4 linked regions of the Mus musculus genome follow. The protein of the gene in region 1 binds, or shares a complex with, the protein of each later gene. Links are inferred from orthologs where the notes say so. Each region holds a gene or a part of one and is shown in the gene's direction. Other genes may lie near its edges.

The links. Proteins that work in one complex are often made in the same cells at the same time.
Region 2: Dhx16 (region 1) and Cript share a complex: the UniProt entries of both Homo sapiens proteins name them as parts of the minor spliceosome. The link is inferred for Mus musculus from reciprocal best matches to the Homo sapiens genes DHX16 and CRIPT.
Region 3: Dhx16 (region 1) and Cwc22 share a complex: the UniProt entries of both Homo sapiens proteins name them as parts of the minor spliceosome. The link is inferred for Mus musculus from reciprocal best matches to the Homo sapiens genes DHX16 and CWC22.
Region 4: Dhx16 (region 1) and Cwc15 share a complex: the UniProt entries of both Homo sapiens proteins name them as parts of the minor spliceosome. The link is inferred for Mus musculus from reciprocal best matches to the Homo sapiens genes DHX16 and CWC15.

The regions. Positions count from the first base shown.
Region 1 is NC_000083.6:35,888,974-35,894,506, forward strand, and holds the end of Dhx16 (pre-mRNA-splicing factor ATP-dependent RNA helicase DHX16), read left to right. Parts: intron 1-224; coding exon 225-387; intron 388-465; coding exon 466-627; intron 628-1,941; coding exon 1,942-2,115; intron 2,116-3,445; coding exon 3,446-3,574; 3' UTR 3,575-3,697; downstream 3,698-5,533. Other genes in the region: 2310061I04Rik (uncharacterized protein C6orf136 homolog), read right to left, coding at 3,880-3,993, 4,067-4,136. UniProt on the Homo sapiens protein: Required for pre-mRNA splicing as a component of the spliceosome. Contributes to pre-mRNA splicing after spliceosome formation and prior to the first transesterification reaction.
Region 2 is NC_000083.6:87,022,938-87,029,128, forward strand, and holds the start of Cript (cysteine-rich PDZ-binding protein), read left to right. Parts: upstream 1-2,623; 5' UTR 2,624-2,722; coding exon 2,723-2,738; intron 2,739-4,761; coding exon 4,762-4,827; intron 4,828-6,191. Other genes in the region: Pigf (phosphatidylinositol-glycan biosynthesis class F protein), read right to left, coding at 728-955. UniProt on the Homo sapiens protein: As a component of the minor spliceosome, involved in the splicing of U12-type introns in pre-mRNAs. Involved in the cytoskeletal anchoring of DLG4 in excitatory synapses.
Region 3 is NC_000068.7:77,942,789-77,948,939, reverse strand, and holds the start of Cwc22 (pre-mRNA-splicing factor CWC22 homolog), read left to right. Parts: upstream 1-2,583; 5' UTR 2,584-2,790; intron 2,791-2,794; exon of another isoform or gene 2,795-5,830; intron 5,831-6,151. UniProt on the Homo sapiens protein: Required for pre-mRNA splicing as component of the spliceosome. As a component of the minor spliceosome, involved in the splicing of U12-type introns in pre-mRNAs. Promotes exon-junction complex (EJC) assembly.
Region 4 is NC_000075.6:14,497,907-14,504,186, forward strand, and holds the start of Cwc15 (spliceosome-associated protein CWC15 homolog), read left to right. Parts: upstream 1-2,712; 5' UTR 2,713-2,875; intron 2,876-4,009; 5' UTR 4,010-4,017; coding exon 4,018-4,148; intron 4,149-4,907; coding exon 4,908-5,020; intron 5,021-5,691; coding exon 5,692-5,780; intron 5,781-6,280. UniProt on the Homo sapiens protein: Involved in pre-mRNA splicing as component of the spliceosome. Component of the PRP19-CDC5L complex that forms an integral part of the spliceosome and is required for activating pre-mRNA splicing.

The DNA.
Region 1 (5,533 bases):
CCAACAGCCACATGGTGGCTCACAACCATCTGTTACTCCAGTTCTCACTTCCTTGGGCGTGTGGCACATAGACATACACGCAGGCAAAACTTTTATACACACACAGTAAGTCTTAGAAAAGAAGAAGATGTTCCCCTGCTGTGTTTGGGATCAGGATCTGTGTCTGCTCTCAGTTGGTTTTTGCGGTTTCTCTTTGGCTTTATCCTCTTCCTACCCCGCTCAAGGTATAGCTGTTCAGAAGAGATCCTGACCGTGGCTGCTATGCTGTCTGTCAACAATTCCATCTTCTACCGGCCCAAGGATAAGGTTGTCCATGCCGACAATGCCCGTGTCAACTTCTTCCTCCCTGGTGGAGACCACCTGGTTCTGCTAAATGTGTACACACAGGTCACTGGGCAAGTGGAAATTTGGGAAGTCTGGGGGATTTGAGTCCTGCTGTGTACTTAAGGCACTTCATCTTCACAGTGGGCTGAGAGTGGCTACTCTTCCCAATGGTGCTATGAAAACTTTGTACAGTTCAGATCCATGCGCCGAGCCCGGGATGTGCGGGAACAACTGGAGGGGCTCTTGGAGCGTGTGGAAGTTGGCTTGACTTCTTGCCAAGGTGACTACGTTCGTGTGAGAAAGGTCAGTGTTTTTGATGTTGTTATTTTCTTTTTTCTCCTATTTGCTCTTCTTTTTTTTTTTTCAAGTCAGGGTTTGTCTGTGCAGCCCTGGTTGTCCTGGAACTCACTCTGAAGGCCAAACTGACCTTAAACTCAGAGATCCACCTGCCTCTGCTTCCCATGTTTTGGGTTTAAAGGTGTGTGCCATCACCACCTGGCATCCCATTTTTTCTTTCATGTGTATGTGTAAGTGCATGTGTAAGTCAATGGACAACCTGCAGGAGTCACTTTGTTGTGTGACAAAACTTTTCCTGAGGAGAGCCTACACACATCTCTCACCCCAGATAGGGAGCCCATGACAGACCAAAGTACGAATACCACCAAAGTCTAACTTGATGAACCAATAAGTTTATTTGGTTTACTTATAGCAATATGGGTGGGGGATTACTGGGTTACTTGCAGAAATGTCTAAACGATAGCATCACCAAAGCCCATCCCAGTATAGGTGGCTGCTCACAAAAGCTGAGCGCCCTGGATCACATCGCACAGCTTCAGGCTCCTCATCACGTTGGAAGGTGTCCTTTCCAAGTGACTTGGTTGGTCTACACCTCTTTTAGCTAACTTCATTGGTTTCTGTTTCTTCCAAGCAGCTGGTCAGATCTCAAGATTCTGCAGTTTGGCCAGGCATGGTGGTGCACGCCTTTAATCCCAGCACTCAGAAGGCAGAGGCAGGTGGATTTCTTGAGTTCGAGGCCAGCCTGGTCTACAAAGTGAATTCCAGGACAGCCAGGGCTACACAGAGAAACCCTGTCTCGAGAAACCAAAAAAAAAAAAAAAAAAAAAAAGACTCTGCAGTTTGATTTGTCTGAGGGGGACACAACACTTATAGCTTTCTCTAGCAGGAGGGACTTCCTGAAGCAGGTTAAAGAGCAGTGTGGTATGTTTCAAACTCAGAAGAAACTGTTAATATACTTCATTCATTCACATCACTGCATCTCCAGATTAGCACTTCTTTTTTTTTTTTTTGGTTTTTCAAGACAGGGTTTCTCTGTGTAGCCCTGGCTGTCCTGGAACTCACTCTGTAGACCAGGCTGGCCTCGAACTCAGAAATCCACCTGCCTCTGCCTCCAGAGTGCTGGGATTAAAGGTGTGCGGCTTCAGACTAGCGTTTCTTGAATCCACTACTGAGGGGCCACAGCAGCTTCCTGGCCTTCGGTTTCTCCAGGGTATTGTTTATTGGAGCCCATTCTTCCCTAGATAGCACATCAAGTGGGTCCTTCACTGAGTCCTCACCTTTTTAGTGGTGCCTGACCTGGTTTTCTTGCCTGCTCCTTAGGCCATCACTTCGGGTTATTTTTACCACACTGCGAGGCTGACTCGGAGCGGCTACCGCACAGTGAAGCAGCAGCAGACAGTGTTTATTCATCCCAACTCCTCTCTCTTTGAACAACAGCCACGCTGGTTGCTCTACCATGAGCTTGTCTTGACCACAAAGGAATTCATGAGACAAGTAAGGGACTATTGCTTGCTCAGATGTGTGGAAATGGGGGACAAATGTTGGCATCTTAAATTCAATTCATGTGGATGGGACTGGCATGGAAACATGAAGGTCCATTAATTTAAAGTAGGGTCAAATGTAATCAGATATAAATTAGGTTTAATGTTTGCTTGGGTTGGAGCTCAGTGGTATAGTCCTCAGCACCTTTACAAGTAAATATAGGAAATCTTCCAAGATCTGAGAATTATAACTCAGTAAATATTTGAAGCTGGGCTTGATGGAGTAAGTCTGAAGTCCCTGGTACTCAAGAAGGTAAGGCAGGAGGGTCATCTATTCAAGGTCTATGGAGGCAACATAGACGCTTCCTCAAAATGAAAGTGTGGGCTGGAGAGATGGCTCAGTGGTTTAGAGCACTCACCGTTCCTGCAGAGGTCCCAGGTTTGGTTCCCAGCACCCACATGGTAGGCAGTTTACAAGTGCATATAGTGCAGCTGCAGGGATCCTGACTTCCTCTGCTGGCCTCTGCAGGCATGGTATCCATGCATAGACACATATATCAAAAGTAAAAAAAACATAACTGGAGAGATGGATCTTCAGCTCATCTCATTCAGAGCACTAGCAGCGGCCCTTCTACAGGATGCTGGTTCAATTCCCAGCATCCACATGGTAGCTCATCTGCCTGGAACTCCAGTTCCAGGGATCTGACAAGTAGTATACAAACATGTGCAGGCAAAACACCAATGTACATAAAAATTTTAAAAATATGGACAAAATACAGGCAGAGCTGAGGAAATTAATGTTTGTATAGCAAGCATGAGGCCCTTGGTTCTGGAATAAATAAAATGTGCACCAAGTACTGGGCCATACCACACATTAAGCAGCTGAAGTCTGTCCTGTCTTCCTTGCAGGTCTTTCTCAGGCTCACGTAAGCGCATGTCAGGGTCAGTCTGCCCTGCTAGTGAGAAGTAGCCAGGTGTAGACCAGGCTGGCCTCGAACTCAGAAATCCGCCTGCCTCTGCCTCCTGAGTTGTTTTTTTGTTTTTTTTTGTTTTTGGACCGGGTGTCTTTTTCTTGTCCTGAGTCAGTGGGGAAGAGGATCCTTTTTAGACCACACAATTAAAATTCTGATTTGAGCCGGGTGTGGTGGCACAAGCCTTTAATCCCAGCACTTGGGAGGCAGAGGCAGGCAGATTTCTGAGTTCGAGGCCAGCCTGGTCTACAAAGTGAGTTCCAGGGCAGCCAGGGCTACACAGAGAAACCCTGTCTCGAAAAACCAAAAAAAAAAAAAAAAAATCTGATTTGGAAGTAAAGGAACCCTATTGATTTCTGCTCCCTCTTACAGGTACTGGAGATTGAAAGCAGCTGGCTTTTGGAAGTGGCTCCCCACTACTATAAGGCCAAGGAGCTAGAAGATCCCCATGCTAAGAAAATGCCCAAAAAAGTCGGCAAGACACGAGAAGAGCTGGGCTAGAGAGTGACATGGACCAAACCTTGCAGCTCTTTTTTCCTTCCATACTTTAATATCTAGTAAATAAAATTATTTTTGGAATGAAGTGCATGGGAACTCTGGAACCCAGAGAAAGTGACGTGAAAACCTGCCTTATGTCATTGCTTAAACTTTATTATTTACAAGTTAAATTACACAGCAGCTTTACCCAGCATGATGGAAAGAAGGAAGGAGAGTGGAGGGTGGCGGCTGGCTCTGGACATTCTCGTCCACCCCCACCTCCTTTTGTGCGTAGCAGTCCTCAGTGCAGCCTTTCACCCACGTCTGCATCAGGCCTTGGAGCACAGGTGTAAGCTGGGCTCTGGTTCTGACAGCCCCAGGGCCACCAGGGCTCCCACCAGCAGCTTTTTCACAGGCGTCGACGGTGAGTGTGAAGGCATCAGCTGCAGAGACAGGTTAATGGAGGCTGGGGAGGAACACAGACATGTTCTACCCTTTACCCCTCCCAACACTCACCTTGTCCAGGTGATGGCGACAGATGAGGCCACTGGAATTCAGGTAGAAGGTGGAAAAGGCATCGAAGGTCCTGGGAAGGGGAGAGGCATCGTGCAGAGGGAGGTAAGCTACAGTCAGACCGAAGGCCCTCCACACAACACAAATCTTCCCAGGACCTAGCAAGCCTGTCTCCCCCTTCTTTTATGTAAATGTGTTTGTGTTTTCAGTGTCAATAGGCCACCAAGAGGACCAAAGATCAGGGCTAAGCTCATGAGTCACTTGGTTCCTCCCAGTTAGTCTTTTTGTTGTTTTAGATTCGTGTACAAAGTGTCCATTTTCATTATCCTATTCTTGAACCTGACTTTCCTTCCCCTGCCTCTGTCTGGGTTATTGGCTCTCTCTTCTCAGGGCTGGGCAGCTAGAAAGGACAGAGGACAGGAAATTCTCTTAGGGTGAGGTGTTCCTACTGAGGCTGGCTGTGGCTTTGGAGACTGAGCAGAGGGAGGCACAAGACTTTGTCTCATACCTAGGAACCATCTGGGGGAAGCCAAGGAGCCTAGTACAGAGCAGGACCTGTTTAAGTGCATGTGCCAGTACAGAAGACAATGAACGGTCATCTCCTCCATCACGTGGGACCCAAGTACTGAATGGAGGTTGTCAGGCTTGGAGGCAAGCACTTTTACCCAATGAACCATCTCACCCGCCCAGGTATCAGTCATTTAAATGTTTAAGTACAATGTTAGAGGCTTGAGCCTAATAATTTTGGGGGATGTACCATCCAGAAACTTAATCACGTACTCTACCTAGAGTTAAATTCAGGACACAGTGTTTTTGCTCACTGGTTTCTGAAGTGAGTTCATGCATGCCAGACTGGCCTTTAACTACTGATCCTCCAGGAAGTTCTTTGTTCAATAACTAAGTACTTAACACCCATCAGGTCCAAGTAATATAAGAAACTCAAAGTCAGAGCTGATTTCTTTTTTTTTTTTTAATTTTATTTAATGTATGTGTGCTCTGCTGCATATATATCTGCCTATCTGAAGAGGGCATCAGATCCCCCTATAGATGGTTGTGAGCCACCATGTGGTTGCTGGTAATTGAATTCATGACCTCTGGAAGAGTGGCCAGTGCTCTTAGCCACTGAGTTCTTTTTTCTTTTTTTGGTTGTTTTTTTTTTTTTTTTTTTTTTTTTTTTTCCCGAGACAGGGTTTCTCTGTATAGCCCTGGCTGTACTAGAACTCACTTGGTAGACCAGGCTGGCCTCGAACTCAGAAATCCACCTGCCTCTGCCTTCCAAGAGCTGGGATTAAAGGCGTGCGCCACCACCGCCCGGCTAGCCACTGAGTTCTTTTTTTTTTTTTTTTTTTTTTTTAAAGATTTATTTATTTATTATATGTAAGTACACTGTAGCTGTCTTCAGACACACCAGAAGAGGGAGTCAGATCTCATTATGGGTGGTTGTGAGCCACCATGTGGTTGCTGGGATTT
Region 2 (6,191 bases), about 51 Mb from region 1:
CCCACATCCATTCAGATATAGGGTTCTAGAAGTTATAACTACAAAGACAAAAGGTTATCAAGTTGCCCAGGGAGTAGGAATAGAGTAGGGAGTGAATGCATGTGATCAAAAACACAGCGTGCATGTATGAAATTACCAAACAATAAAAATATGTATTTTAAAAATATAAATGGCTTAGGCGACGGTTTAGTCAGTAAGCAACAAGGACCTGAATCGATTCCCGGAACCCACCGTAAAATGTCAGGTATGGGGCTTGCTTGTCCCCACACTGGGGAGACAGAGGCTCTCTGGAGAGCCACTCTGGCCTAAGTGATAAGCTCCACACCATTAAATGTCCTGGACAGGGCAGGCGGACAGGGTTTCTAAAGATAACACTTCAAGTTGTCCTCCAGCCCCCAAATGCATTTGCCCACCCACATACCTAAAAAAATGTACAAAAGTAAATGAAAATAAACTGCAGTGTCTTGTAAGTTATCTTCCGTGATAAAACCATGCTTATATAGGTCATTCACATTGTGATGCATTGAAGGAGTCATAATTCCACAATGAATGCACAGCAAGAATCTATCAAACACTGTAGGAAGGTAACAGGCTACTGCTCTGGTGGGGGCGGGGGAGACTTGGTTCCCTTTACACTGTAAATCACTCAATAAGGACGAAGCGAAACTTCCTTCTTACACTGTAACCTCCACCCTAAAGCCAGTGAAGCAACAGAAGTGACCCTTACCTTATGTGACAATGAACTTCTTTTAGAGGACACATTCGGTTTCACTACTAAGTACGACAAGAGATTGACAGTGGTCACAGAAGCAGAGCAGATACACAGCCAGGTCAAATGAGCTTCCAATACTGAGAAGTTGTCCACGAAGAAGGACGGAATGAAAATGCTTAGGAAAATTGAAAATACGCACAAAAGATTGGTATACAGAAGTCTCTTGATGTCAGTATCTTTCATGATGTTTTCTTGGGTAGCTATCTAGTAGAAAACAAATTAAGAAAAACATGTAATGATTTTTTTTCCATTGTCCCAAGCACTTCAATACTCTAAATATAAACCATGTATTAATAATTTTCTATGGGCAACATATTTGTTTCAAAACACAGAACAAGCATATGCAGATTTTAATTGTTACTTTAGATTTCTCTAATATGGTATACATTATCTTTCAGAGCCTCAAAAAGAAAATTCCTGTAAAAATTTAAATATTTGTGACTGGTTTCTACAAAGGGGACATGTGCCAGACACCAGCAACTAATTTTACTTTTTTGGCGAAAATCACTGCAGTTCCCAAATGACAGCCAAGTATACACTTAGATATGCAAATGGTGGAGGACCATCTTAAGATGGTCATTATGCTACACTAAGGGCTCACACTGTCTGTACAGATGTTAAATAATGGTAATAGCAGAACGCGAGTGGGAGGAGAAACAATAGTTTCCAGTCTCTAAATACATATATTTGACCTAGAGAACAGTTTCTATGTTATACTGACTAAAGTTAATTAAGAACTTAAAAGTAACACATGTTACAATGTAGTAAAAATCGGGCCCAAAAAGTAACATCCACACCGCAGGGTGAGGAACTAGCAGGAAAGGTAAAAGCGCAAGTCTGGGCATGGTGCTATTAGCCCTCATTTCATTCACACTTATCGTTTTCAAAAGCAAATGATACTGATTAAGAAAACTGGATGAACAAGTTAGCAGATACGGCCAAGGTTACACACGCACAAGCCATTTCAAGCATCGCCTCTTTAAACAAGAAGAAATCCTCCAGGGTCGGGACAAGAACGCATAGCCGTGAAAAGACTTGGGGAAAGTTTCTCAGATTCTCCCTTCCACTGCGGGGTCAGGCAGGAAGCGCGATCAGAAATCCATCCTAGGCCACCGGCAAACACCCATCTAACACGGCGAGCGCGAGCGGTACCCAAACGCAAAGGTGACACCGGCGAGCGAGTCCCCGACCCAGGACACCACACCTGGGAAGCCGCCCTCGGGACTCGCGATCCCGTGAGAACGGGGTCGGAAGGCTTGGCTGCTCCCGAGCCCTCCTCCTGAGCAGCCTTTGCTCAGGTGCGGACCGCAGCTCCACCCCACCCAGGTGGCTCCGTCCCAGCCTCGGACGGCGCAGTGTGGGCAACTGGAGGTCGCCATCATAGAGAGAGCCCGTGCGGCCGACCCGGTGACCTGAGGTCGGAGTCCCCTGAGAGACTGTGATAGACGCCGGCATCTCAGAGGGTCGGTAGCGCAGGGCATCCTCTGGTCCGCCGGAAGCGTGGCGCCCTGGAAGTCACCGCAGCGGTCGGCGGTGCGACCTGCACCCGCCCCGGGCGAGTGTGAGAAGCAACCCGCCACCGGCTTACCTAACTCTCCCGCCCGCCGAAGGGAAGGGGGACACCACCGCCTCCCACCCTCAGGTGCTACAGGCTGGCATGGCCCCTGGCGCAGGCGCAGACCAGAAAGCGAGGGGGCGGGGGGAACTCACAAGCGCACAGCCAATCGTTGACGAGAAGGGGCGGGATAATGAGAGCAGCCCCGCCCATCAGCTCGCGTTTATCCCTCCCGCGACTTTCTAGGTACGGGATAGGCCGGAGCGGGAGGGCTGAGAGTCCGGAAGCGGGCTGACGTAGCCGGAAGAGGAAGTCGTCTCCGCTGGGGCGTTGTTGTGTTTGGGTTGCTGCTCCTGCTTTGCCGGCTGAGGGCACAGGGACACCCCCATGTAAGGATGGTGTGTGAAAAGTGTAAGTTCAGGGGCTGCTTCTGGGGGAGGTGGAGGGCTGAGAAGTTCTCTCGGGATTTCTCTGGTTTTCCCCTGCTGGTCTGTGGCGTAACCGGTGTCTTCCTACCCTGCCCCTCGGCCCTTCTTGCCTGTCCCGTAAGCATAGCCTTCCGCTCTGTGTTGAGAATGGCTTCAGTTCTGCGCCTCTTGTGTTTGTTTCTGTTGTCGTCCTCGCGCCCCTTCTGGGTCTCCTCCGTTACAACTTCTTGATTGGCTCTCGGAGGCTTAAATCGGATCTTCACGATCTTTCTGGTAGCATCAAGAGTTGACAGATGTCACAAGTATAAGTTCCAGGCTCTCGGTTACATCTTAAGATTATAAGCAATGGTTAATTTCCAGTATTATTAATATGTCCCGAATAATGTTTAAATCTTGACTTTCTGCTTTTCCTTACTACAAAACATGCCGCATTTAATACAGATTTTATTTATTTATTTATTTATTTTTGGTTTTTCGAGACAGGGTTTCTCTGTGTAGCCCTGGCTGTCCTGGAACTCACTCTGTAAACCAGGCTGGCCTCGAACTCAGAAATCCGCCTGCCTCTGCCTCCCCAGTGCTGGGATTAAAGGCGTGCACCACCACCGCCCGGCTAGATTTTATTTTAAAAATTACTTCAGTGGCTATCTGAAATTAAGTTAAATTGGATATTTTGAGCCATCCCGTCAATTCATTAATACTCACAGCTTTGGGTCAGGTGAAGGAGAGAGTCTCATCACCACCAAAGAAATCTTTAAGTAGTCACCCCTGGCTTTTAGAAAGGTCTTTTTAACCCTTTTAGTTACCATTCAGTAATTCCAATGAAACCCTTAAGATTTGTTGTAAATATTTAATTTTTTTTTTTTTGGTAGCTGCAAAAGCTGATGATTCGTTTAAAAACAACTTTCTTCTCTTGATCTCTTTCATGGGCTAGACAGCCTTCTCTGACAAGATTCAACCCACATCTCAGTTACTGGCGGATATACAGGACCCATTTTGTTCATAGCCCCTCAGTATGTAGAACTCTGGACACAGACACCCCTCCAGAGCTGTGCCATTCTTAAACGGTTTTTTATTCTTTTCGAAAGTGGGATAAATGGTTAATTAAATGTGGCTTAAATGTATTTAGATTGTGAAGCCGTCCTTTGTGCTGTGCCCTGAAAGGTCATTTCCTCTGCTCTTCTGAGAAATCTAAGGTCTTATTATCTGTAGCCTCTCAGTCTGTCTGCTCATTGCATGCACCCCGTAAGTAAACTGAGGTACTTGCATACAGAAGCTGTAATGTCAGCAGCCGCCTCAGTTCAGTCTTCCCTTGTATCACACATTATTCGAGAAAGTTACTTTTCTCCAATTTTTTAGAGTTACCTCTTAGAACTTGGCACGTACGTGTTCTCCAGTTGTGCATTTACTGAGTTCCAGGGAGTTTGGTTTCAGTGTGCTTTCTTTTCCTTGTTCTGTTAGGTGTTTGAGGACTGTTTGGCCTCAGCTGGCACATCCATACCACTGAGCATCCAGTGCTCTTCTCCACCCTGAACAGTGCCCTACTTAAACAGTACTAAGTAACTGTCCATTTGGAGCATATAAATACAATATATTTATCATTTTAAATTGCTTTGTTTTCATCAGAACCTTGCATGGTGCTTTGTACAGACTAGGTGATTAGAGAATGTGAGAGAGAGGAATGAATAAGTTTGTCAGAACTGCTTAAAGTATAATCAGTTAAAGCCTGTTACTAGAGCATCGTTTTGTCCTGTAAGTTTTATTTAGAACCAGTATCTGTTGCCCACTGTTACTATCTTAAGTTTTCATTCATTGGTTTCTACCCTGGCATTAGTAGGTTCCTCCTATAATCTGACTTCATATCGTTATGTACTTTAGGCGATACAATATATTTATCATTTTAAATTATTATTGTAAAGTTAGCAAAGAAATGGGTTTTGTTATTTTATTTCCACACAGTTTGCTTATTAGATGACAGCTGTTCTCTTTTGCTGTCTTGGCGACCACAGGTGAAAAGAAACTCGGCAGAGTTATCACTCCAGACACATGGAAAGATGGTGCCCGGAACACCACAGGTACTGTTTGCTGTTAGGAGACAGGAGCTGGGTCAAGCGCTGTGGCCCTGCTCTGGTGCGTCACATTTTGCACAGTGCAGTGTTAGATGCTGATTACCTTGCCCAGTAAACACCGAGGGCTCGGTTCTCCTGGGAGTGCACATCTTTCTTCATCATCTGAGTTACATGTACGGATTCCTCATATAGTCAAGAAGTAGTAAAATTATTATTTCAATGTATGTCTATTTGATTCAGATTGGTAAAGTCTGTGTTTACATTTCCTTCCCACATCTAAGTTTTACATTCTCAAACAAATTTAGACTGCCTTACTTTTTTTTTTTATTAAACGCATACAGCAAAGCCCAGTGCAGTGATGCATGCCTTTAATCCCAGTACTTGAGAGGCAGAGGCAAGCGGATTTCTGAGTTCGAGGCCAGCCTGGTCTATCTACAAAGTGAGTTCCAGGACAGCCAGGGCTATACAGAGAAGCCCTGTCTCGAAAAACAAAAACAAAACAAAACAAACAAACAAACAAAAAAAAACCAAAGTAGACAGATGTTACACATACAAAAAGAGTGTAGGCATTGTCAAAGCACTACTTTAAGACTGAACAATAAAGCAATTATACAGTGTTCATTAAAAACTGGGCTATTATATGAAGATTTTTAAAAATTACAATAAGGGTCTGTGATGGTTTGTATATTCTTGTACCAGGGAGGTGTGGCCTGGTTGGAGTAGGTGTGTCACTGTGGATGTGGCCTTAAGATCCTCACCCTAGTTGCCTGGAAGTCAGTCTTCCACTAGCAGCCTTTGGATGAAGAGGTAGGACTCTAAGCTCTGCCTGCACCAATACCTCCCTGGAAACTGCCATGCTCCCACCTTGATGATAATGGACTGAACCTCTGAACCTGTAAGCCAGCGCCAATTAAATGTTTGTTTTTTTTTTGTTTTGTTTTTTTGGTTTTTTTTTTGTAAGACTTGCCTTGGTCATGGTGTCTGTTCACAGCAGTAAAACCCTAACTAAGACAGAAGTTGGTACCAGGAGTGGGGTATTGCTGTGATAGGCCTGACCATGCTTTTATTTGAAAGAATGTGGATTTTTGGACTTTGGATTTGGAACTCAGTGGAATGCTTTAAATGGGGCTTAGTGGGTCATCCTAGTAGGAATCTGGAAGACTTTGTTGCTGGGAGTAACTGTGTTGACCTGGCCCAAGAGATTTCAAAGGAGAAGAATTTCAGTATGTGGCATAAAGACTGTTTTTGTGGTATTTTGGTGAAGAATGTGGCTACTTTTTGCCCTTGTCTGAAAAGTCTGCCTGAGGCTAAGGTGAAGAGACTCAGATTAATTGCATTGACAAAGGAAGTTCCAAAAAAGCCCAGCAGAG
Region 3 (6,151 bases), on another chromosome or scaffold:
AGCAGCTCTCCAGGAGCCTTCCAGGACTCCCAACACCAGACAGGAATACAGAGACTGCAGTCTCATGGACTGAGGAACAACAGAATTCTTGCCCCTTCCACTGTGAGGCAGCTGTCCTTGGACTATTTTGGTGTTTTAAATAGGTATGCCCACAGAGACCTAATCAATGCTTGGTCCATAGGGAGTGACACTATTAGGAAGTATGACCTAGTTGGAGGAAGTGTGTCATTGTTGGCATCTCCTATGCTCAAGCTATGCCCAGTGTGGCACATAATCTCCTTGGTGCCTGCAGATCAAGATGTAGAACTCTCAACTCCTTCTCTAGCACCATGTCTGCCCAAGTGCCACCATTTTTCCTGTCCATTGTGATAACAGACTAAACTTCTGAAACTGTAAACCAGCCCCAATAAATCTTTTCCTTCATAAGAGTTGCCATGGTCACAGTGTCTCTTCACAGCAATAAAAACCTAACTAAGATAATTATTCATACCACATCTTTTAAGCCAGCCTGATACATCTCTTATTATATATTCATTCTATCAAAACTGCTCTTTTAGAAACTCTAATACACAGTGAGGACCAGCTCTAGAATTTTATTATTCCCTTTGCTTTATTGATATTGTTGTTGCTGGTTTGATTTGCCTTGTTTTCTTTCTGCTTTTGACATGGTCTTGCTATGTAGCCTTGGCTGGCTTGAAACTCACTCTGTATACCAGGCTAGCCTCAAACTCTTAGAGAGCTATCTGCCTCTGCTTCCCAAGTACTAGTATTAAAAGCTCACTACGTAGCCTTGGCTGGCTGAGAACTGACTATATAGATCAGGCTGGCCTTGAACACTTGAACACAGGTCTGCCTCTTAAATTATGGGATTAAAGTGCCTAGCCCAGGATTTTTATTTTGTTTACACCCTGTGGGGGTTTGAATAAAAATGGCCCACATAGACTCACAGGAATTAGGAGGTGTGGCTTTGTTGAGGTAGACTTGGTGCAGTGGAAGGAAGTGTGTCACTGAGGTGGGCTTCTCAGATGCCCACGCCTGGCCAGTGTTTGAACGTCTTCTCCTGCTGTCTGTGGATCTAGATATAGAATTCTCAACTCCTTCTCTAGCCCCCCTACTACTTAGATGCCATAAAACTCCCCACCATGAATTCCACCATCACAATAATGGAATAAACCTCTGTTGTAAGCCAATTAGATTGGCTGTTTGTTTGTTCATTTGTTTGTTTGTTTGAATATAACAATTGCTGTAGTCATGGTGTCACTTTATAGCAGGAGAAACGCTAACAAAGTCATACTATCTCTAGGAAAAGGCTGAAAGCTCAATCACCCTAAAATTATAATAAAGAAGCAGAGCTTACTGCCCCAGGCATTTGATGCCAGCCCCTAGGAAGCAGAGCCAGGCAGATCTCTGTGAGTTCAAGACCAGCCTGGTCTACATAGTAAGTTCCAGGCCAGCCAGGGCTACATAGTGAGACCTTGTCCCTGTTTAAAAAATAAACAAAATTCTTGGAGAAGCCAGGCCTGGTTTACAAAATACTTTGAAATATAAAGATGATGTTGTTTTAGGAAGAGCTTTCCAATCACATTAGCATGCTCTTTAACACTTACCTTTTGGTAACACTGAAAATCAAAGACTAAGGAAACAGTATAATTGAGGCCAGTGCTCTAAACTCGTTACAGATTTCACATTCCAACCCTGAAAGTATCATAAATACAACTTGCTTCTTTTTTTTTTAATTTTTTAATTAATTAATTAATTTATTTATTTTCGGAGACAGGGTTTCTCTGTATAGCCCTGGCTGTCCTGGAACTCACTTTGTAGACCAGGCTGGCCTCGAACTCAGAAATCCACCTGCCTCTGCCTCCAGAGTGCTGGGATTAAAGGCATGTGCCACCACGCCAGGCAACTTGCTTCTTTTCTTTTTTCACCTTCCTCTCTCTCTCTCTCTCTCTCTCTCTCTCTCTCTCTCTCTCTTTCAAGACAGGGGCTCATTATGTAGCTCTGGATGTCTTGGAACACACAGTGCCAGTCTCAGCCTCCAAAATATTTGGAGTAAAGGCAGACACCACCATGTTGGGCCTCCAATTTACTTCTCACTGTCCTTACAACATATCATTTATAATCAGATAGTCTTCCATTCACTTGAATTTAAAATCTTGGAACTTAATAGATACTAAACATTTTGTCACTTTCCCCTCTTCTCCCAAACAGACTTTTGGTAAAGCTTCTGTCAAAAATCTGAAAGGGATCGCTACTTTTTTTATTATTTTCAGGCAAGGTATTATATAGTAAGCCTCTGCGGTAGTTTCATAGTATGTATCTTAGTGTTAAGCTTTTACACTGAAAAAAAAAAAAAAGAAAGAAAAGCTACGGTGTCTACTAAGAGCTACTTTTTATGGCTTTAGAAGATGAGTAGTGTTAGAATAAGAAGCATGCCTCGAAAACCTAGCTCTCAAAAGTGTCTCTAGTGTGACCTCCTATCCGAACGAACTACAATTCCCGTCATGCACTGCGGTCCAACTACAACTCATTTCCGTCCGCGCTGCCAGAGCATGCTGGACTTTGTAGTTCACTCGGACTCACATGTTCTTTTCTCGTGTTCTTTGTAAGGAATGACAGTGTTACTAGCTGGATTGCTTTGACTCAAGGTGTTACTATACCGCATTATCATTAATCGTATCACATACCTGCCAATTCACTACCAGTTTTTCACTAATTTCTCGCGCTACTTTCACCCGGGAAAGGGAACTGACGCTCTTCCGGTATGATGGCGGCGCGGTGGAGCTTTAGGTAATTACGGAACTCTGAAGACTCGGGATAGACTAGGAGCCAGAGTGGGGGCGGCGGGTTGCTAGGTCGCGTGGAGAGGGCAGGGACTTGCGAGTGGGCGCTTGCCCGGTGGGCCTTGCTTTCCTCATGTGGCTGCGCCGTCTCCACCGGCGGCCCGCGAGGTGCCGTGTGAGCCGGCTGGGCCTAGCGCCGGCGGCGGGGCGTGCGTGTCTGGGCCTTGGTCTGGGTTGTCGGTGAACACCTCTCCTGGGAGCACCCTGGGTCGCGTCCCCAGTCGGCGTCCCGGGGCTGGCATTAATAAATTCTGGTAACGCGTTTGCCTCATTCCAGCTTATCCCAGTAGCCAATTCTATTACATTTTCATTTATGGATCGTTTTCATTGACTTGACTGAACCCCTGTCATGTTTAGCCCTAGTGATCCATGTTTCGCATCTTCTGTGTTTAGGTCGCATACGTAGTTAACCTTAACTCTAAAAGCCTCTACTATTTGCAACTTCCAAACATGGGTTTGCAGTTCCTGCCCCTAGCGAGCTGCAGGCCCTACAGTACAAACAGCACTGTGCCAGCTGTTTGACCTGCTCTAAATGCAAGACTTTTTTGATACATTGTAGCCACTTAACTCGCCCCCCCGCCCCCCGGAAGAATAATTTGGGGAAAGGTATTAATAGAAACAGTAACTGAGCCCCGGCAAGCCGTTGGTGAGTTTGCCCAGTGGTTAAAAGCACTCTTTCAGAGGGATCTAGGTTCGATCCAAGCACCCACAAGATGGATCACAACAAATTATAATATCAGATTCAGGGGACTGGATACCTGCTTGCTGATAGCCACTTGCACCAGCAACTTGAACTGTCCCTATATGTATATGAAGGCAAAAAAGATCCATACATGTGAAAATGAGCTACCTTTTCTGTTAATTGTGCTCTGTATTTAAACTGCCTTTTGTTTATTTATTTTTCCTGTTCTCTGTGTAGTCTTGACTGTCTTGGAACTCACTCCTTAGAGCAGGCTGACCTCAAATTTAAAGAGTTCTGCCTGCCTCTGCTTTCTGAGTGCTGGGATTAAAGGTGTGGGCTAGCCGGGTTTAGACTGGTTATTTTAGTTGAGTCCTACCTTGTTCATGACTGGCCCAGTCAGACTCAGTCTGGAAATAGACCAGTTCCAGAAAGAAGTGATTATCGGTAATACAGCAGATTGGAACTAATGTCTTTGAGGGTTTTTCTGTCAGATTTCCCTTGTTTTCTCTGTAAGTCTGAAATTACTGCAGGAACTCTAGCCAGCTTGAATGTGGTGGACAAGGCTCTCCTTCCCAAGTCCCCGTGTCTTGTTAAAAACCGTTAGATCACATTCCTCAAGCTAGCCCCCAAGATCTGTTCCCTGATCTAACCTGCAGAGATCCAGCTATCAAAGCATTGAAGTCCAACAATCCAAAACCTCTCTGGGGTCAACTAATTGACATGCCCAATTTAAATTAAATACCTCAGCCTAACCCCTCTACCCGCTACGCTAATATTTTCCTATATGTATGTCTTCTCTCTATCCAGAGACAGTCCTTTGTTCCCTTGGGACAAATACCCCTTTACCCTCTCCCTTGTTCCCTTCCCCTTCTCCCTCATCCTAGTGTCCTGTCTTTGTCTCCTGTTTCTTGCCCTTTGTCCTTCTGGGGCAAATAAGTCTCCTTTGTGCAGAGAACACGCTCTTGGAGTGTCTTGAGCCAACTTTGAGGTTCCCTACAATTACGAGCAAGGGAGGCCGATGGAGCACTAAGGATTTCAGAAAACTCTCAGGCTTGTTAACACTTTTTCTTACACCTCCCAAGTAAACATGGGAGAAGACAGTTGAATGCTTACCTCAGCACAAACTTTGAAGACATTTTTTAAAATGTTTTTTTTAAAAAGATAGCACACATGGGCAGGGGAGTGGATTCAAACAAGCCTTTGCCTATCGTGCCATGTTAGTAAATGCCAGTGAACAGAAAGGAAAGAAAGTGTGGGGCATCCTTTTTTAGGAAAAGCTTCAATGATTAAAGAATTGATAACTTAGTAAGCGAGACCCAGAATTAACTGTTTTTAATCTATCTTTGAGCCTAACTCAGTAGTGGCTTAAGCCAGGCAAAGTTCAATACTTCCTCCTTGAAAATTTATCCTGTGGGTGCTCTGAATCACTTTACAAGGGGAGGCTCTTTCTAGATCAGAGCTTCTGTGATGGGTGGTCGAGCTTGGTGTCTAGAGGCTACATGGTAATATTTCCTTTACACCAGAATATGCTCAGAAGAAAAAAGTATACAAACATAACTTCTAATGATATGAAAGGTCATTTCTAACCAATCTGTGCAAGTTAGCAGATTTTGTTGACAAAGCTGGGGACCAGATTTGACTTGTGGAGTGCAGACACAAAGTATGAAGTGAAGATGAAGGCCTATGCTACATTCGGGTCCAGTTACCTCTTGGGCACACAGCATCTACTAGTGCTGCCTTGATGCAGATAATGACAGACAGCTTGGTGGCCCCAAGAATAAGGGGTAGAGGAATATTCTTTATGTGATGTCAAAATAACTTGACTCCTCTTCGGATCTAAGATAATCTAAAGTTACCTTCCTGTAGTGGCTATTCCTGGTTGTCAACTTGACAATATTTGGAATGAACTACAATCCGGAATTGGAAGGCTCACCAGTGACCCTTATCTGGAGGCTTGGAGATCCTTATCTGGATCTTGGTTTGAAGATCTTGAGCCATAGTGGCTATGGATTCCAGAAGATTGAATCTCCGAGTTAAGGAACACACCTTTAATCTGGGCTATGCCTTTCATCTGGGATTAAAGGTGTGGTGGAACACACCTTTAGGATTAAAGGTGTGGTGGAACACACCTTTAATCTGGGCTACACCTTTTGCTGGAGACAATATAAGGACATTGGAAGAAGGGAGTCTAGCTCTTGCTCTTGCTCCTTCGCCTGCTTGCTGCGTGAGACTGAGTAACTGCTAGATCCTTGGACTTCCATTCACAGCTGCGACTGAACCATTGTTGGGAATTGGGCTGCCGACTGTAAGTCATCAATAAATTCCTTTACTATTTAGAAATTATCCATAAGTTCTGTGACTCTAGAGAACCCTGACTAATACACTTCCCCTTACAAAACTTTTAGATTTTGAACATGTTATGTATCTGGTACTATCTTAGCTTTGTGTGTGTGTCTGTGTGTGTGTGTTTATGTCAGTGATTGAAAATTTCAGAGATTTGCTGTATCCATAGAAGGCCTTTCATGATTTAGCTTCGTGAGTCTCTTAGGGTCCACATCATTTATGTTCATTTTCTACGTGCTTCCTTTACGGGAATGACTTGAAGTCATCATTCATTTGTTTGTTA
Region 4 (6,280 bases), on another chromosome or scaffold:
TGTCTAGTTAATCCACCCTGCTGCTACCATTTTTTTGTTATTGTTGATATCAGAATTCAGATTCTTCAGACTTCCAATGTGGAATGAAGACCAGTGGCTCTCAAGGAATGAATCCTCCAGGCACCAGAATGGGACAGTCTTAAACTGCGGAGACATGTAGTCTTGTGGACTGTGTGGCTTCTGAGTTCTCAATCATTCCAGAGTCAACATCTGTACTGTACCATGTACACCAATCCAGTAAATCCAGTCTACTCTTTATTCACTGTCAGCTCTGTTCCTCTGCGAACCTTAGCTAATACAGACATCTCCCCAACTTCATTTCTTTGTCTTAAGTGCTTTCACTGTTTAAGTCAAAAGCTTTATGGTATCATTTTATTATTTACAGGTACTTAAAAGTTAGGGGTTTTTTTATTTGTTTGTTTTGTTTTGCCTGTCTCATTAACACTTCCAGACTATTTTAATCAAATGCTTTTACTTTTGTGAACTAACTTTTTAATGCTAAACTGTAATGGCATCATCAAGTGTTAATTAATTAATAATTCAAAGTCAAATGGACTGTGGTGACTTATTGAGTTGATAAAGTCAGCTGGAATATAAAAAGTAAGCATTTCCTGTCACCATCTTGCCACTGCAATTTCATTCCTGTATTTATAACATGTTAGTCATTCACTTAACTAGTATTTACTCAAGCTCTGTCATGTATGGTGTACTGCTCTATATGTAGAGGCCACTAGTGAAGAGAGGCAGGGTTCCTGCTTTACTGGAATTTAGGTTCTAAGGTTAGTCAGACCGTAATAGTATTAGTAACAGCCAAATCTGACTCAACAAAGTCACTTGCTGAGATAGTTCTAAGCACTTTACAAAGTGATGTAATTACCATGGTAACAATAAAAATAAATCACCCTTACTTTTTGCACAAGGGATGGAAGATAGGAGAGGAAAGATAATTTGCCCAACTGTGCATAGCTAAGGAGGGCAGAACTGGGGTTAGAACCAAGAGAGCCTCATAGAAAATAGATACTTAGTCTCAATACTTTGCCTCTGACCACAAAGAAAAAAAGTGCATGAGGTAATATAAACAAAGAGTAAACCCAACTAGAGTTCAGCATTATGGAAATATAGAACTGGGTGCCATAAAGACACTTTTGCAAGGGAGGAAGTGGGGACCAGTAGAGATGTCAGGGGAAACCTCACAGAGGAAGCAGCACTAAGCTATGCCCTGAAGAACCGAGTTACAGGTGTCTTGGAGGCAGAGGTGAAGAACACAGTCCCAAGTCTTTAAAAACAGATGAATGCATGCCTGAACTTAAGTTGAAAGCCAGCCTGGGCTGCACTGTAAGAGCTTGGCTCAAAACTCAAATGAAACAATGGAATCCTGCCTTGTTGAAAGAAACAGAAATGTCCAGTTGAGTGTATCTTGAGTGTGGTGTGCCTGTGACTAAAGGCAGGCAGGAGGCAGACTGTGTAAGTAAAAGCAAGAGGCTGTTTTATCCTAAGTGTCAAAACCACTACCTGGTAATCTGAAAAAATCACTCTGTTTGTGCAAAACTAGGAAAGTCCCTATGAAAGCAATTACAAATCAAGAGGAAATGACAGTGGCCTGAAGGAGTGTGGTGACAAGCAAAGGAACTTCAGGGTAATTTTCACAATACTGGACAAGAGTGGCAGGTGAACAGGATGTGACGAGGGAAGGAAGAGGGTCTCCATCTTTGGGTTTGAGTCACTAATGTGAAAGCGGTGTCCTTTGTGTGAGGCTCAGGGCAAAAATATGAAGCTTTCACCTTCTACTTGGGGAGCGGGCACATTCGGGAGGGAGTGGGTTCTTTTCTAATTCTCTTTCTTCATTTAAAAGTTCCAAAGGAAGGACAGAAAAGAACGGAAATGTTCAATTTTAGGAGACCCTTCCACTTGAGATAAACTGGAGAACAGAATCCTCTTTACCGAGCATCGGCCGTCCCCAAGATCTCAATGATGGGGCACAAGACAACGTTGGCGAAGCCATCTTAATCCCATCTCGTGCTCCTCCTGGCAGTTAGGCCCACTGCTCCATAAATTGTCACTATCGTAAACGCTCACAAGCATCTCCCCTCACGCTACAACGCTTAATGCATATAGCTATATATCTATATATTTATATATCTTAACAAGCAATGCGACTATAACCCTTGCCTTCAAGGCTAGTGGTTTCGCAGGAATGGTACCTTTGGAAAGCTCGTGGCTGCCCCCGTACTTATTTGCGCCTTCTTCATATCCACTTAAGTGACAACTCTAGTCCCTAGGCTGCGGGGTCTACTGAGGAGCAGGAGCCGTTGGGTCGGTCAGTTGGCAAGCTCTCCTCACATCTCTCTTGCGAGACGCGGACCGGCTCCTGGCGCCTCCGTCCTCGCAGAACCGCAGCGAACGAGTCTGGGAGGGGGTCGGGAAAGGAAAAGACGCAAGAGAGATTAAGTAATTGGTTCGCAAAGGAAAAAAGATGATATTTGGGGTCGACTATGAAGCACCGGTTTCAAACGCCCGCCCCCTAAGCTGCCTTGGCTCCGCCCCTAGGCAACGTCATTCCATCTTTTTCCCGTGTCTTTGCTGATTGGTCACTGCGTCAGCCTGTGAGAGACGGTTTAAAAAAAAAAAAAAAAAAAACACACACACAACTCCGGAATTGCTTCCGGGTGTGGAGTTCGCATCTTCTCCACAGCCATTGGAAGTGCGAAGGTTTTGCTTCCGGGTCTCAACCGAGCCCCTGGTGTAAAAACTGGAAGCTCTGCATTTTGTTTCCGGTCTTGGGCCTGGCGCCCCCGGCGCCGAGATTTCTGGGAGCTAAGGGTCGCATTGGTTCATGAGTGAGTTTCGGAAGGTGCTGCGTAGGACCCCCGCCAGAGTGAGCAGCCGGGCATGGTGGTTTGTGGTTCTTGTGTGGGTGGCACCGGGGAGCCGAGTCGCCGCCGCAGCCCGTGACGATCGTACAGGCCGCGGTGCAGGGATGGTGGTCCGGAGCTGAAGCCGAGCCCGGGGCGGTCACCGGTGCAGCGCCTCAGACACTGAGAAAAGCAAAGGAGGGTGGGATGGGGAGAAACTCCCACTTCACACACGATCTGTGTGAGCAGCTGCTTAAGCTAACGGAGATTTAGTAGCCCTGCAGTTAGGCTGCAATTCTTATTTGACAGCTAAAAATGGCAAAGGTTCTCTTGTAGCCTAGGCTAGCTTCGAACTCCCGATTCTTTTGCTTTCACCTCCCAAGCTCTGGAATCACAGGAGTACCCCCATCATACCCAGTTCAGGATGGGTTCTTGATACTTGGTTGGGTGGAGTTCCGATTTTCTGAGCATCGCGGAAGTTACAGCCTTGATAAATGTTGTGGTAACTGCTTTAGAAGAAAATTGAGTCAACAAGATTCTGGGGTAATGGTTGCCCATGTAAATGTCACTGGGGACTTTAAACAAATTTTAACATAATAAGTTTGACTGTGACTTTAAAAGAAATTTGTTTTTTATTGGGTTCTTTGCTGTAGTGTGAGGTTTCTGGTAGAACAGCAAATCTTGGCCGGACAGTTACATTGTGAGATCCTATAATTAAAAAAAAAAAAAAAAAAGAATAAATTTTTTTTAAAAAAGAATAAAATAAAATCTCAGAGAAGCTAGTGCTAGTGGGATAACATTTTTTTAAGTCATTTATTTTAAAAGCTACACTACACTGTTGTGCAAGATCTGACATCATGTATGGGAATCTCATAATACTATAGAAATGTCGGCATTCCACAAATGACAGAAACGAGCTAGAAGACTTGCCCAGGGCTACCCAGCCAGAACAGAAGCACTAACTCAGATCTTCATAGTAGTTATTTATACTGAATAAGAGTTGCCTAGTAAACACCCTGAGTTTCATAATTCGGATTTTTAGGAACTTGTGTTGAAGCAAACTAAGCAATTTTGGGGAGTTTGAGAAGGATTTAAGAATAGATATTTTTGAGTTATCTGTAAAATGAAAGTATAACTTAAATTCACTTTTGCCGAAGACTAAAAGATGACAACAGCAGCCAGGCCAACTTTTGAACCTGCAAGAGGTGGGAGAGGAAAAGGAGAAGGGGATTTGAGCCAGCTCTCCAAGCAGTATTCAAGCAGAGATCTTCCCTCTCATACAAAGATAAAGTACAGGTAAGAAGGCCTTCATTTGTCTTGTTCACAGAATGGGACCAAGCCTCTCTCTATATATATGTATGTATATATATGACTTATGGTCATGTCTAAATTATAGTATTTAGGTTACTGATCTCCAAAGAGAAGTATTTCAAAAAAGTTTACAATAAAATTACGCCCTACAGGTAAAGTTGCTAGACAGTCTTCCAGCATAAGTTCCTTTGAACCAGGAATTGCTATGTGTAGATGAAGCACTCATTAGTCATGATAATCACATCAGAGAAGACGGAGCTGTAGTGAATATGGAAGTGTTGCTCTAACAGCCCTTGAATTGGTGGACTGTTTTAAAAAGCCGAAGACATGGGTTAGAGAGATTTCTCAGCAGTTAAGAGCACTGCTCTTCCAGAGGTCCAGAGTTCAATTCCTAGCAACCAGATGGTGGCTCACAACCATCGGAGGGGTCTGATGTCCTCTTCTGGTGTGTCTAAAGAGAGCAATGGTGTAGTCATATACATAAAATAAATAAATCTTTTTTTTTAAAAGCCAAAGACATTCTGTTGTAGGCAATTGTGTGCTTTAGTTTGTTGTTCTAGTGATAAGGAACACTACGAGTGTATTAACCCTCAGATTGGGATATTGTCTTATCTTCTTCCTTTTTGTTGTTGACAGACAGTTACATTCTGGATTGTCTTAAATTGTTGAAGCTATATAGGTTCTTTTCCTTGACAAGTGAGGCCAACATTTTTGACGTGTTTTGTTTTGTTTTTCCTACTTAAGACAAACCACACAGGATGCCCCTGAAGAGGTTCGAAACCGTGACTTCAGGAGAGAACTGGAAGAGAGAGAGAGAGCTGCTGCAAGGGACAAAAACAGGGACCGCCCAACTCGAGGTACCCGTACTGTCCGTCATGTCTGTCTCAGTTGTGTGCAGAAACTGTGTGTATCCTGGTAATTGGAAATAAGTAGCATTTTTGTGAGCTGTATCTCTTTGATGAATGATTAGAGATGAGAATGAGGTTTGTTCCAGTCCCATGCATTGATACTATCATGCATTGATACTAGGCCTTCTGTCTGGGACACCGAATGTAATTGAAGAGTTTTGAGAGAAGCATCAGTTATCCTTTTTGTGTTTCTACTACATGTGAGCATTGGGTAGGTCTCCTAAGATGCTGTGATCTGCATTCTCACTAATTCATTTCGTGTAAACCAACAAATATTTATCAAAGACTTACTTGCCAGTCACAGGGTGGATCCCGGGTGTCACTATGCTTTGTGTGGATTCTTTTTGCCCAAAGGTTTCTAAAATGGTTTTAAAAATTTAGTACTTGGGCTGGAGAGATGACTCAGTGGTTAAGAGCACCACCTCTTCCAGAGGTTCTGAGTTCAATTCCCAGCAACCACATGGTGGCTCACAACCATCTGTAATGGGGTCTGGTACCCTCTTCCAGTGTGTTAAAAGAGAGTAATGATGGTGTATTCATTAAATAAATAAGTAAATAAATAAATAAAAACCACTCTAGTACTTATTTCAATATGCTAAGTAAGTGTTTGTTTTCTTCAGAGCATACAACTTCCTCTTCAGTGTCAAAGAAGCCCCGCTTAGACCAGATTCCTGCTGCCAACCTTGATGCTGACGATCCTCTCACAGACGTATGTGTTTTAGTTTTGGGTTTGGGCTAGGTTTTGTTTGTTTGCTTGCTTGCTTGTTTTAAGCCCGCTTGGTGCTAGAACTGTGGGCCTCTGCCATTAGGCCCACCATATCATATTTTCCTAAAAAAACTTTAATACATTTTGGCTTTATGTTATGGAAATATATCACTGACCTCAACTTTAAAACAGGAAGTATTCTATGTCAAACACTGTTAGGACAGGTTTCATCTGGGGGGCTATGTGGAAGCAGTTTGTGAAAGCGGCTATGCCCACCCCTGACAGCATTATCAGTGGTGCGGGAGGTTAAGCTGCCTTGCTTTAACCACACGGAACACTGTCAGGATGAGTGCCCTCTGAACAGCACCATTGAGCATTGTACTTGATACTGCCCTTTATTTCCCTTTGATTTGATGCTCTGTTAGACACCTAGTGCTCATAGGCCCCTTAGTGATTAGAGAGGTAAGTAGTCTAAGCGGATAGAGCATAAACAGTCACTGGGA